2 linked regions of the Drosophila melanogaster genome follow. The protein of the gene in region 1 purifies or fractionates together with the protein of each later gene. This does not show direct contact. Each region holds a gene or a part of one and is shown in the gene's direction. Other genes may lie near its edges. The genes, in order: E(Pc) and CG12054.

The links.
Region 2: the proteins of E(Pc) (region 1) and CG12054 purify together in Drosophila melanogaster (affinity purification with mass spectrometry, with the first as the bait; one large-scale study listed by BioGRID). This does not show direct contact.

Annotation. Positions count from the first base shown.
Region 1 is NT_033778.4:11,450,192-11,455,329, forward strand, and holds the start of E(Pc) (enhancer of polycomb), read left to right. Parts: upstream 1-1,997; 5' UTR 1,998-2,192; intron 2,193-2,577; exon of another isoform or gene 2,578-2,694; intron 2,695-3,201; 5' UTR 3,202-4,125; coding exon 4,126-4,278; intron 4,279-4,342; coding exon 4,343-4,478; intron 4,479-4,633; coding exon 4,634-4,872; intron 4,873-4,941; coding exon 4,942-5,096; intron 5,097-5,138.
Region 2 is NT_033777.3:31,219,064-31,223,964, forward strand, and holds the start of CG12054 (uncharacterized protein), read left to right. Parts: upstream 1-1,638; 5' UTR 1,639-1,779; intron 1,780-1,849; 5' UTR 1,850-2,302; coding exon 2,303-2,402; intron 2,403-4,901.

The DNA of each region.
Region 1 (5,138 bases):
CTATAAACCAATGGTGAATTTTTACTACTTGTAGGCGCGTTTTTGAAGAATAATATTAAATCCGTTTGAACAGCCCGATAATGCTGGGCCTTAGCTTCACATCCATAGATTCCTCACAATACAAAAAGCACTAAATTAATATCAAAGATCTTACCAATATAGCGGAATGCTAACATAATGGATTATTGGTATTGGTTGATGAATATTGCAAGGAAATGAGAAAAACCAAAGAGACACAAAAAGCCCACAGAACCAACTCTCTAGAAGAATCAGCAGTCGATTTTATGTTTTAATTTGAGTTATGGTTTAGTTTTCGGTTTCGATTATCCATCATGAAAATAGCAGATAATTCAGATTTTAAATTGACTTTACACCTCAGCTCACCACGCACACATCTAAATAGTGCTTCCCGCCACTCACCTCAATTCGCCATTTCACCCACTCACCCCAACTCACCACACCAAGTGGCGCACGCGCCACAAATTCCACCAGTGGCGTACGCAGGATTCTCTCAAAGGGGCTTGAAAATATTTTCTTATTTTCATTTAATTCTGTAATATGCTGAAGAAGAAGAGCCCTCTCCCTGCGCACGCCACTCTCTTCAACCACCAACACGGTTGCGCAGCCGCGACAGAGAGATATGCCTTCGCTCTCTCGCAGCTGCGCCACGCCCACCACCCACAGCCACCCACGAAAATGGTGCTTTTTCACATACGACACCACTGTCTGACTATATTTTTCATCATGTACGCCATCGCAATCCATGCCACAGTGGTCGCAATGCCGCGACAGCCGCTCCACAAGTGCCACCAAATACTATTTTATTTGTGTATTTATTTTCACCGAAAATGAATTCCTGCACTTTGTGGGCGGCAGGCGCGCGTGCATTGCCGAGCATCTGAAACGTCGAGGGTAGAGATGAAAATATCGGGCGCCGCCTGTCACCGGCGAGTATTACCCAATATAAATCGCTAATGGCCACAGGCGGTCGCCGCCCCAACTGTAATTGTGAACGTCCGTGCGGCCATTGCCCAAAAATGATTACATAATACGATCGAACGAACCGAATGAGAAGCCAAAGAACTAAGGATACGAAAGCAGCTGAAATAACGTTGGAGGATCGGCGCGGGATTTTGGCAAATCGAGCTTCTTCTGCTTGGGGCTTTTCAAGCATAAGGCTTTGAGGCTTTCTTTTTACTAAGCAGGTGCTTCCAACTCGCTTTGCTGGACAAATGCCCGACATAAGTTACCATTCAAAATCGCTTGGCCAAATCAGCATTACCCCCACAAATTGTTAAGGACTAGCGAGTAAATTTTAATCGTATTCTCGAATATAAATTGAGCAAACTTTAAGTCAACGAGCACATTTGAAACTATCAAGACATTGTAACCAGCAAATAAACAAAGTTAAGCAAAACAGCGAGTACGAAAAGCCTTGTAAGAGATTATAATAAAACAAAAGCATTTAAAGGAAGTTACAAAGTGGAGTTATTATTATTTGTATGCTGTATGCACAAGTTTAATTTAAAGAATCCAAATAAAATTCTAAGCTATCCAGCACACAAAATAAAACAAAAATTGTTTTACTCATTTAATAACTATATCTATAATGTCGACTGTTCAGCAAACAAGTTGTAAATACAAATTTGAATTAACAATTTTTTATAAATTTCGAATGTTAAAGCCCATGCGTTAGCACATCTTTGCCGATGCCGCAATTGTGAGTGTTTCCGATAGCTCGCACGAAATGCACTAGCGCATGAGCACTCCGAATTATTTGCACACCACTAGCTGGGCACCTGGTGAATGGGGCTGCGTAAATTAACAACAAAATAAATAAATGCAGCTTGGCCCCGGCTATCCAAATGTATGCATGCGACCCCTCACAAAATTCCACAGATTTAGATGAAAACCGCACTCAAAACGGTTAACTATTTCGCCTGGAGGCCTAGCCAAAATAATTTCGCCACTGTGGCGACGATTTCGTTCGACTCCGACAACTCCGAATTTTCATTCGTAATGGCCGCCCATAAGTAAAAACGTGTCCCGCTGCTGAAGAACGATTATACGCGTTTGCGCTAAGCCAATTGCTTGAATTTAGCTGTAAACGGTGCGGCAGTGGTAAATACGCTGAAAACCACATCATTTAATCATATAAGAGGCCCCAACGCCCGGCAAAGAGTGTGAAAAAAGTGCGTGAAAAAATCTTAATCGATTTTTTTGTTTGTGAAAAAAAAATCATGCAGCGTTGGGCATAGTGCTCGAAGAGCTCGCCAGGGGGCGCTGACAAACTGTTCGGAGTGTCATCGGAATAAGAGGCCGGCTATTTAGCGCTGCCAACGGCGATTAATCGATAACCGTAGCGGTTTTGAAATATATATTTTGAAAGGAAAACGTCATGTTAGAGCAATTTAAAAATTCTAGCAGTAAATATTTAATTTTTGCCCATATATGACAGGGCCCTGCAGTGAAATTGCGGCAATTAAATCGACGACCGCTTATCGTTATCGCCGCCGACGGCACAAATAAATCGCGGCCCCGCTGTCCGCGGCGTCGTCGGTGTTCGGCTCTCTGGCCGCCATTATTGCTTTCCAGCGAAACCACGCTATACGCAAAATCGGGTTTATATGTGTAAATTTTTCGGGCGATTTATCAACCAGATTGCGTTCGCTGATGCATGAAAAGTGCGGTAAAGTGTGTAAAAAATTAGCGCTGGCCCAGAAAAACATACGCACTCGATGGCTGATTACTAATTAACTAGATAAAAGCAAAAAACAAAACCCACATGAGGCGGAGTTTGATTGCGTTTTTTTTTCTCACTTAACAGAGTTCTGTACAAACAAAATGTTAGCTAACAGGGCTCTGCAAAGTGAAATATCTCGCGGAAAAGGCAGTATTAAATTCGCCGCGTTTGTTTGAGATGTGTGTTTGCGCGCGTGTGTTTGTTTATGCCGCCTTTTTCTTCGTCTCGGCTTTCTATGATTTTGCATTTTATCGCATTTAAATAAAAAAAAAAAATCATGACTCATGCGGATCGTGTTTTTGTGCGTGTTAATATTAATTTAATGCAAAAGCAAAGAAATATACAAATGTATGTGGATTTGTGAGTTTTTTCCCGCGCGCGCCGCCCTCACATATCAATGTATGCGTGTGTGTGAGAGTTGTTTACTTACTAGTTTTTGTTGTTGTTATCAATTCTAGATTTTTTATCAGCCAACCGATAACACGACAGCCAAGGCGAAATAATAATAAATAATAACAAGAAGAGGAAGTCAACAAATAAGCAAAAGAAAGAAGAACACAATATTGATTTAACCTAAAACGATGATGAACTGAAATGTGCAAATTTGATGAACGTAATTATGCCAATTCACACAGAACCTTCGATTTCAACGTGAAAAATGTCGTCGACACATTTGCTGCATTCACTGTCACTGTTGTTGCTACCACTGCGTTGTCGTCGTAATTGCCACCAGATCGTTTCCTTGGCCATTGTCCTGCTGTCGGCGCTGTCAGCCAGAGCTCCCGAGGATCAAGGAGGACGACAGGAGAGGGAGGCGGAGGAGGAGGACGAGCGGCAGGCGGACCGCCGGGAGAGTGTCCAGGGGGAGGAGGAGGACACGCCCTACATAGTCGCCAATCCACACCCAATCCTCACTAGCAGTAGCACTACGTCTTCGGCCAGGGCAACGGGCACAGGGGCTGCGTTAACCAGCTGGCAGAGCAGCCACAGCCACCGCAGCCCCGGTGCTCACGATCGGGATCGGTGTCAGGAACAGGAACAGGATCAGAAGCAGCAGCACCTTTTCTACCCCAGCAAGCCCCATCTCCAGCTAACGTATACAGCCCCCTCGACATCGAGTAGAGGAGCCAACACAACGCCGACCACGAATCGGAGTAGATCCTCCAGAATCCAAATTAGCAGTTGCAGCACTAGTCCTGCCCACTGCAGTTGGACCGCCGGAGCAATCGTAGCCTCCTTAGCATCCATAGCCACCTAAGCAGTCGATTCCACTAGGCAAACTCTCAAATCAGCCACAGCAACAGCAAATAGAAACGTTCCACACACCACAACAACCCAACCCAAAACCACCCACAACCAAAACCCAAACAAAAGCCAGCAAGATGTCCAAGCTGTCGTTCAGAGCCCGCCATTTGGATCCGTCCAAGCAGATGCCCATCTACTTGGCGGAGGAGCTGCCCGACCTCCCCGAGTACTCAGCCATCAACCGGGCAGTGCCTCAAATGCCCAGTGGCATGGAGAAGGAGGAGGAGTCGGTAGGAAGTTTCTCAGTGATCCTTTATTTTGGATGAAACTAATTTTGTCCCTTATCCCTTGTAGGAGCACCACTTGCAGCGAGCGATATGCACGGGTCTGATCATCCCCACGCCCGAGGTGCTGCAGACGGATCAGCCCTTCTACGATGCCTACTATCCGCCGGACTACAAAATGCCCCGCCAAATGATCCACATGCAACGTAAGCAAAAAGCAACTACTAGAGCAGAATAATTCGTTTCGTTTCGGGCTTAGAACATTATTTTTAAATTCCATATCAATATTGAATGAAATGCAATAACTTATGTAGTTTCGTATTATTCTTGGACTAATTTTTTACAATTGTTTAACTCTCAGCTCTTGGGCTGGATACCGAGGTCCCTGACTACGACATGGACAGTGCCGATGAGGACTGGCTCAGTCAGCAGCAGCGCCTGGAGCTTACCGAACTCAAGTTCGAGCAGATGATGGACCGGCTAGAAAAGAGCTCCGGCCAAACGGTGGTCACGCTGAACGAGGCCAAGTCGCTGCTTAACCAGGACGACGAGACCAGCATATCCGTCTACGATTACTGGCTGAACAAACGCCTCAAGATGGTAATAAACACTTAGCTTGGCTATTGGCTACGGCAATATACTAAATCAACTATCTTATTCATTCTCTAGCAACACCCGCTGATCCTCACTGTGAAAACTGAGAGTCGACCAGGCGCCAGCTCCAACAATCCGTACTTGGCTTTTCGTCGTCGCACCGAGAAAATGCAAACCCGCAAAAATCGAAAGAACGATGAGGCCTCCTACGAAAAGATGCTCAAGCTGCGGTAAGAATCGAGTGAAGTTTGCCTAAAGTCGGTTGAGAAATT
Region 2 (4,901 bases), on another chromosome or scaffold:
CGGAGATATCGATTAGTTCTGGGCTGACTTTCTGTCCCAAGAATACATTGTATCAAGTCCCACGCCGCCTCAGAAAAGTTACGTAACATGCGGAAAATCTGCCCTCGCACCGGATTTTCACTCGACTCTCAGCTCGATCTGTGCTCAGTCATCAATTGAAACCGATTTGCTGGCTTTTCCTCTGCGAATTTGCCGATTTTCTAACTTTTCCAGTGACGCAACGACTCGAGGCACACACGCACACCACTGCAAAACCAGAATGGCACACGTGTGTGTGTGCGAGTGTGCCGCAAGATGGCGGCGCATTATCAAACACGTTTCGCACTTTAATTGGCGAAATTTCACACGATTCTTCACTAATTCCGCGTTTTTTGGCTATCTGAGGCGTTTGCACGGCTGTTACCCAACAGAGGGGTGCTGATAAGGGGGGTGCTCCGCCAGCGGACGGAAAAACCCGGAAAAAGCAACTCACTTCGAACGAACCCTTCACAACAGTAAAACGAATTTGACAATTTCGCTGACTTTTGGGGGGTGCTAAGTGTGGCCGTCAGCGGGAGCTGGGAAAAAGGACGATAGGTCGATTTAATACTGGAAAGTACCAGAAATACCATTTTGGTTGAGAACCCAATCCACGGTGCAAGTCCTGGCTACACATTTTCAGCAGAGACGCGCCCCAGGAGCGAGTCTTTGCTAGAATAGGAGGTTGCCCTTGCACAATAGGCGCAGTGTGACCATAACAGTAGTGGATACGTAGAATCAATTAAATAGCCCTTTCCCACGAAACTGCGTCTTTCTAATTTTGTTTATTTATTTATACTACAAATTAATAAAATAAAATCTTTGGCGAACGGTCCATAAAAACGGGTCATTCTGAAAATTTTTCAACCAGCAAATGCAATAGATAAATTAGATAATTAGATAATTAGATAAATTAGATAAGTTTTCAATGAATTTGGCAAGTGTAGGGCCAAATAAGTATGTATAATCGTTTGTGTTTTACATGCACATAATCTATTCTTTTATTTAACTACATACATATGTATTGTGAAATATATTTTTATCATCAATATAGTTGATGAAATTATGTATATAAAATATAACCAGACTTCAGTTGTAATAATATTCATCGTGCCCTAAGTTTCCCTGTCTTTTTAAAATATATTTGATGGGGTGGAAAATATTAAATTCATATGTAAAAATTATATATATGGTAACATTTTAATAAACCTTAGCTAAGCTTCAAGTATGCCTATCCCGAAATTGAAATAAAAGTGTAATTTTATATTATATATAATATATAATATAATATATAATTAATTATTATTTATTGTTTTCATTAATTTTTACGGAACTATATATACAAAAGGAAACGACTAGAGCCCTCTGGCATCTTTTCATAATTCTATACGCAATAAACAATATAAAATTTTTTATTTATTTCTTGTAATAATTTCTTATGGAATAATGCCTTAGTAAATAACTAGAGCCGGCCGGCATATTTTCATCGAAATATAAGTTTGTATTCTCAAAATATTTAATGTTCTATAGGAAGGTGTATCTGCTAGACTTAAATTAGTTAGGAGGGTGCACTCGCTAAGAGCCCGAGAATGCAGTGCAGCCCTGGTACGTGCAAACTCACCACAGTCACGCACACCACCACAAACGCAGCGTTACGCGTCGTTCGACGTCGGTGTTTGTGTCTACGTCACGTCGGCTTAAATTATGTTTTAATTACCCAGCGGCAACTGCGAATGCAACTGAATCGAAGCACAGAATGCTGTAAGTAAATATAATACTGATGCTAATTTGAAGTCAGTTAAACCCAGTTACGCCCCCCAAAATGTTGCAGCCCTCAATTGCATAACATCACTTGCGCATGAGTGTGTGCGTGTGTGAGGAAACGCCAGAGGAGCGAAACACACCACACCGAACAGCGGCGTAGGGAAAGAGACGGCAGAAGCAGCTGAATTGCAGTACAAGCAGGGTTCATCGCTAACAAAAAAACAAGCCATGTACTCCTGCTGAATTTCGAAAGCGACTTATTATCGCCTGATTACCAACGAACAGTATTCGCCCGATCAAACGCCACATAACCCCCTAAACTCACCACAGCACATTGGAAGTGGGTGGGAGTCGCCGCTAAGCTGAAATTGCAGCCCTGGAAATGGACGTTTCGGTGCAGTGCTGACCTGGCCACACTGACCAGCCCCCGATTTAGTTGCTGTTTTTTTACATAACTCGCCACATTCGTTCTCTTCGGAATACGTGATATATATATATATATGATAATACGATATATATTATGGCCGTTTTCCTGATCAACGTCTGCAAGTACAATGGCTGCGGCATCACGTTTCCGAGCTTGAGCGATCTGATTTCCCACATCGAGGACACCCACATAGGTGAGACGGGTCGTAAACACCGTAAATATCGCTATCATTTGACCGTCGCGTGATGTTCTCGGTGTGTTTTGTTTATTTTATTTACTCGCCGCGGCATAAATAAAAAAACAAATCGGATCGCAGCGGGGCAGAGGTGTGCGAGTTCGTCAGTGTGTGAGTGCGTGAACGGCTTCGTGGTGAATTGGATGTTGTTTCTACGATATGATTTGCAGTTTGCATTCGGCATTTATTGCACTTAAAGGCAAAATCGATGCTGGAAGCCTGGAAATGGCTACCTGTGCCCACACACACCGCTGCACGCCGCACACACACGCCCTGTTTTCCAGGCGCGTACAGCATTCGTTGATCGGTGCGCTGGCTGGAAAGTGCGGGTGCGAGCGAGAGCGCAGCACAAGCAAAACAAAAGCAAAAAAGCCGGTGATCCATTCAAAACCCCGCCTGTCTGTGTGTGTGCGTGCGTGTGTGTTTGGAAGGCCAGCACAGCATCTAGTTGTTGTTTGCGGTGTAGTGGAAACCGGCGAGTTGAGCGCCCTTTTTTTGACCTGTCCGCATGGCTTGGCTTGGGTTCGGCTGTTTCTGGCGTTCGTTTCCATGGCAGGTGTATCCGCATCCGGTAATCGGAGTTGGAACTTAGAAGTTGGAGGAGATGCGCTTCTTGTCTGCCCCATGCGCCTTCCCCCTCCGCTCATACCACGCACTCACAATCACAATCGATACTTGAACTTTCCCGTCCACGTGACTCCCGTGGGCTTCCAATTAATCATTTCCACGGTGTGTGTTTACCGGCTGAAATAAACAAATTCTAATTTTAGTGATTGTATGGCGAGGGGCGGGGTTTTCGAGGGCGAAAAATCAATAGAGTTAAGCTCAGTAGTGTTGCCGCATTACGAAAACGGGGGTTTGGGGGTGGTTTAACCGTTAACGGGCTTTATTTATGCCGAACATGCCGTGCGTCTTACACTGAGAGTTATTTTTATGTATGTACGTTTGTATGGTTGACTCTTTTTGCTTTTAGAATGAGGTACTTTTTAAAGGTCGTGTAATTTATTTACAAAAACACATAAAATTAACGAGTGAGATCACCATTCATCCAAGTCAATGCATTTTCATGCTTTAGGGGCAATGTAAAGTGGTGATTGCAGAGCTCGCCTACTTTGTAAGCTGTACGTACACACGTTATTTAATTACCCTTTGCACTTCAATTTTTCTCTGTGCACAATCAGGCTCTCTTACACACGCGTAGAGAGAGGGGTTGGAAAGAGAAAGCAGAGGGGTTGCTCAGCTGACGATTACGTTGGCAGCTGTTTTGTTGTTGCCACTGCTGCGTGATAACGGTCAACACACACACACGCACACTTGAACATATAAAATGGCTGCCCGGGCAGGCTTTCCCACCTAGCCACCACCCCCTTTTGCGTCCCGGGGCATTACATAAAGCCCAGGCACGAGCATACGCCCACTTGGCAACTGCCACCCCCAAAATCGCCCAGGCCCAGATACCAAATACGCCCGAGGCCCCGAAAACCCGCATCCCCCGTTTGCCCATTTCCCCACATCCATTGCGTATCCATTACGTGAGCGAGCTGTTCTAGGGCTTATAAATGCCCATCATTTCATTATCTCGAAGGACATTCGATGCGTGGGTTCCCTGAGTGGATGGATGGTTGGATGGTTGGATGGATGGCTGGGTGCATGGATATGGATGTGTGCCTGTTATCAGGACTCAGTGGGCGTTGTCGCTTCGTTTCGGCTCGATTCGGTTGTCATGGCAACGCAAAAGGCGGCGAGACCTTCAGGTTTGTCCTTTTCACAGTTGCCAGGCACCTGTTGTACGGTCCCGAAAATGCCCGGGATAATTTATTTATGAGTGTTTCTGCACTCGCATTTAGATAACCAGCTGCGAAAGGCTAACTGCCGCAGTAAACCAAACAAATGTACCTGTGCACCTGTCAAATCGTTTTTGCAATTTTACCAGGGAATTTCATCTGAAAGATAAGATTCTAGCTAACTATGAGTCACCAAAACGCATTTGGTTTCATCCAAGATTCATTTTCAAACTAAACAGTCGCATAATAGGTACAGTTTCAGAGATTATATGGGATTTATTCCAGTTAAAATGAGGATTTTATAAATCGGGGGACTTAACAAGAAAATCGCATAAAGGTTGGGTTGCCAGCAAACCCTTTTGACCTTGAAATACTTTTGGTTTGCAAGGTTATTTCTGTGACTTTTCTATTTCTTATGAGATGAGTAATTTCAACCATCCAACCATTTATGATTCAATGAACTTTGAAGGTTATTAAATGGTTTTAATGAAAAGGTGTCCCTGCATTTGCCATGTCAACATAATTAGACTCCAGTCAATGACTTGTGTTCCTCGAATTTCTTTCTTCACAGCTATTGGAAAGTTTTTGAGATAGCTGCCGAAATGAAAACAAACCAAAACAGCATGTTCAAGCAAAAGAAAAAACATTTGTTATCGTTTTTAAATTCTGCAAC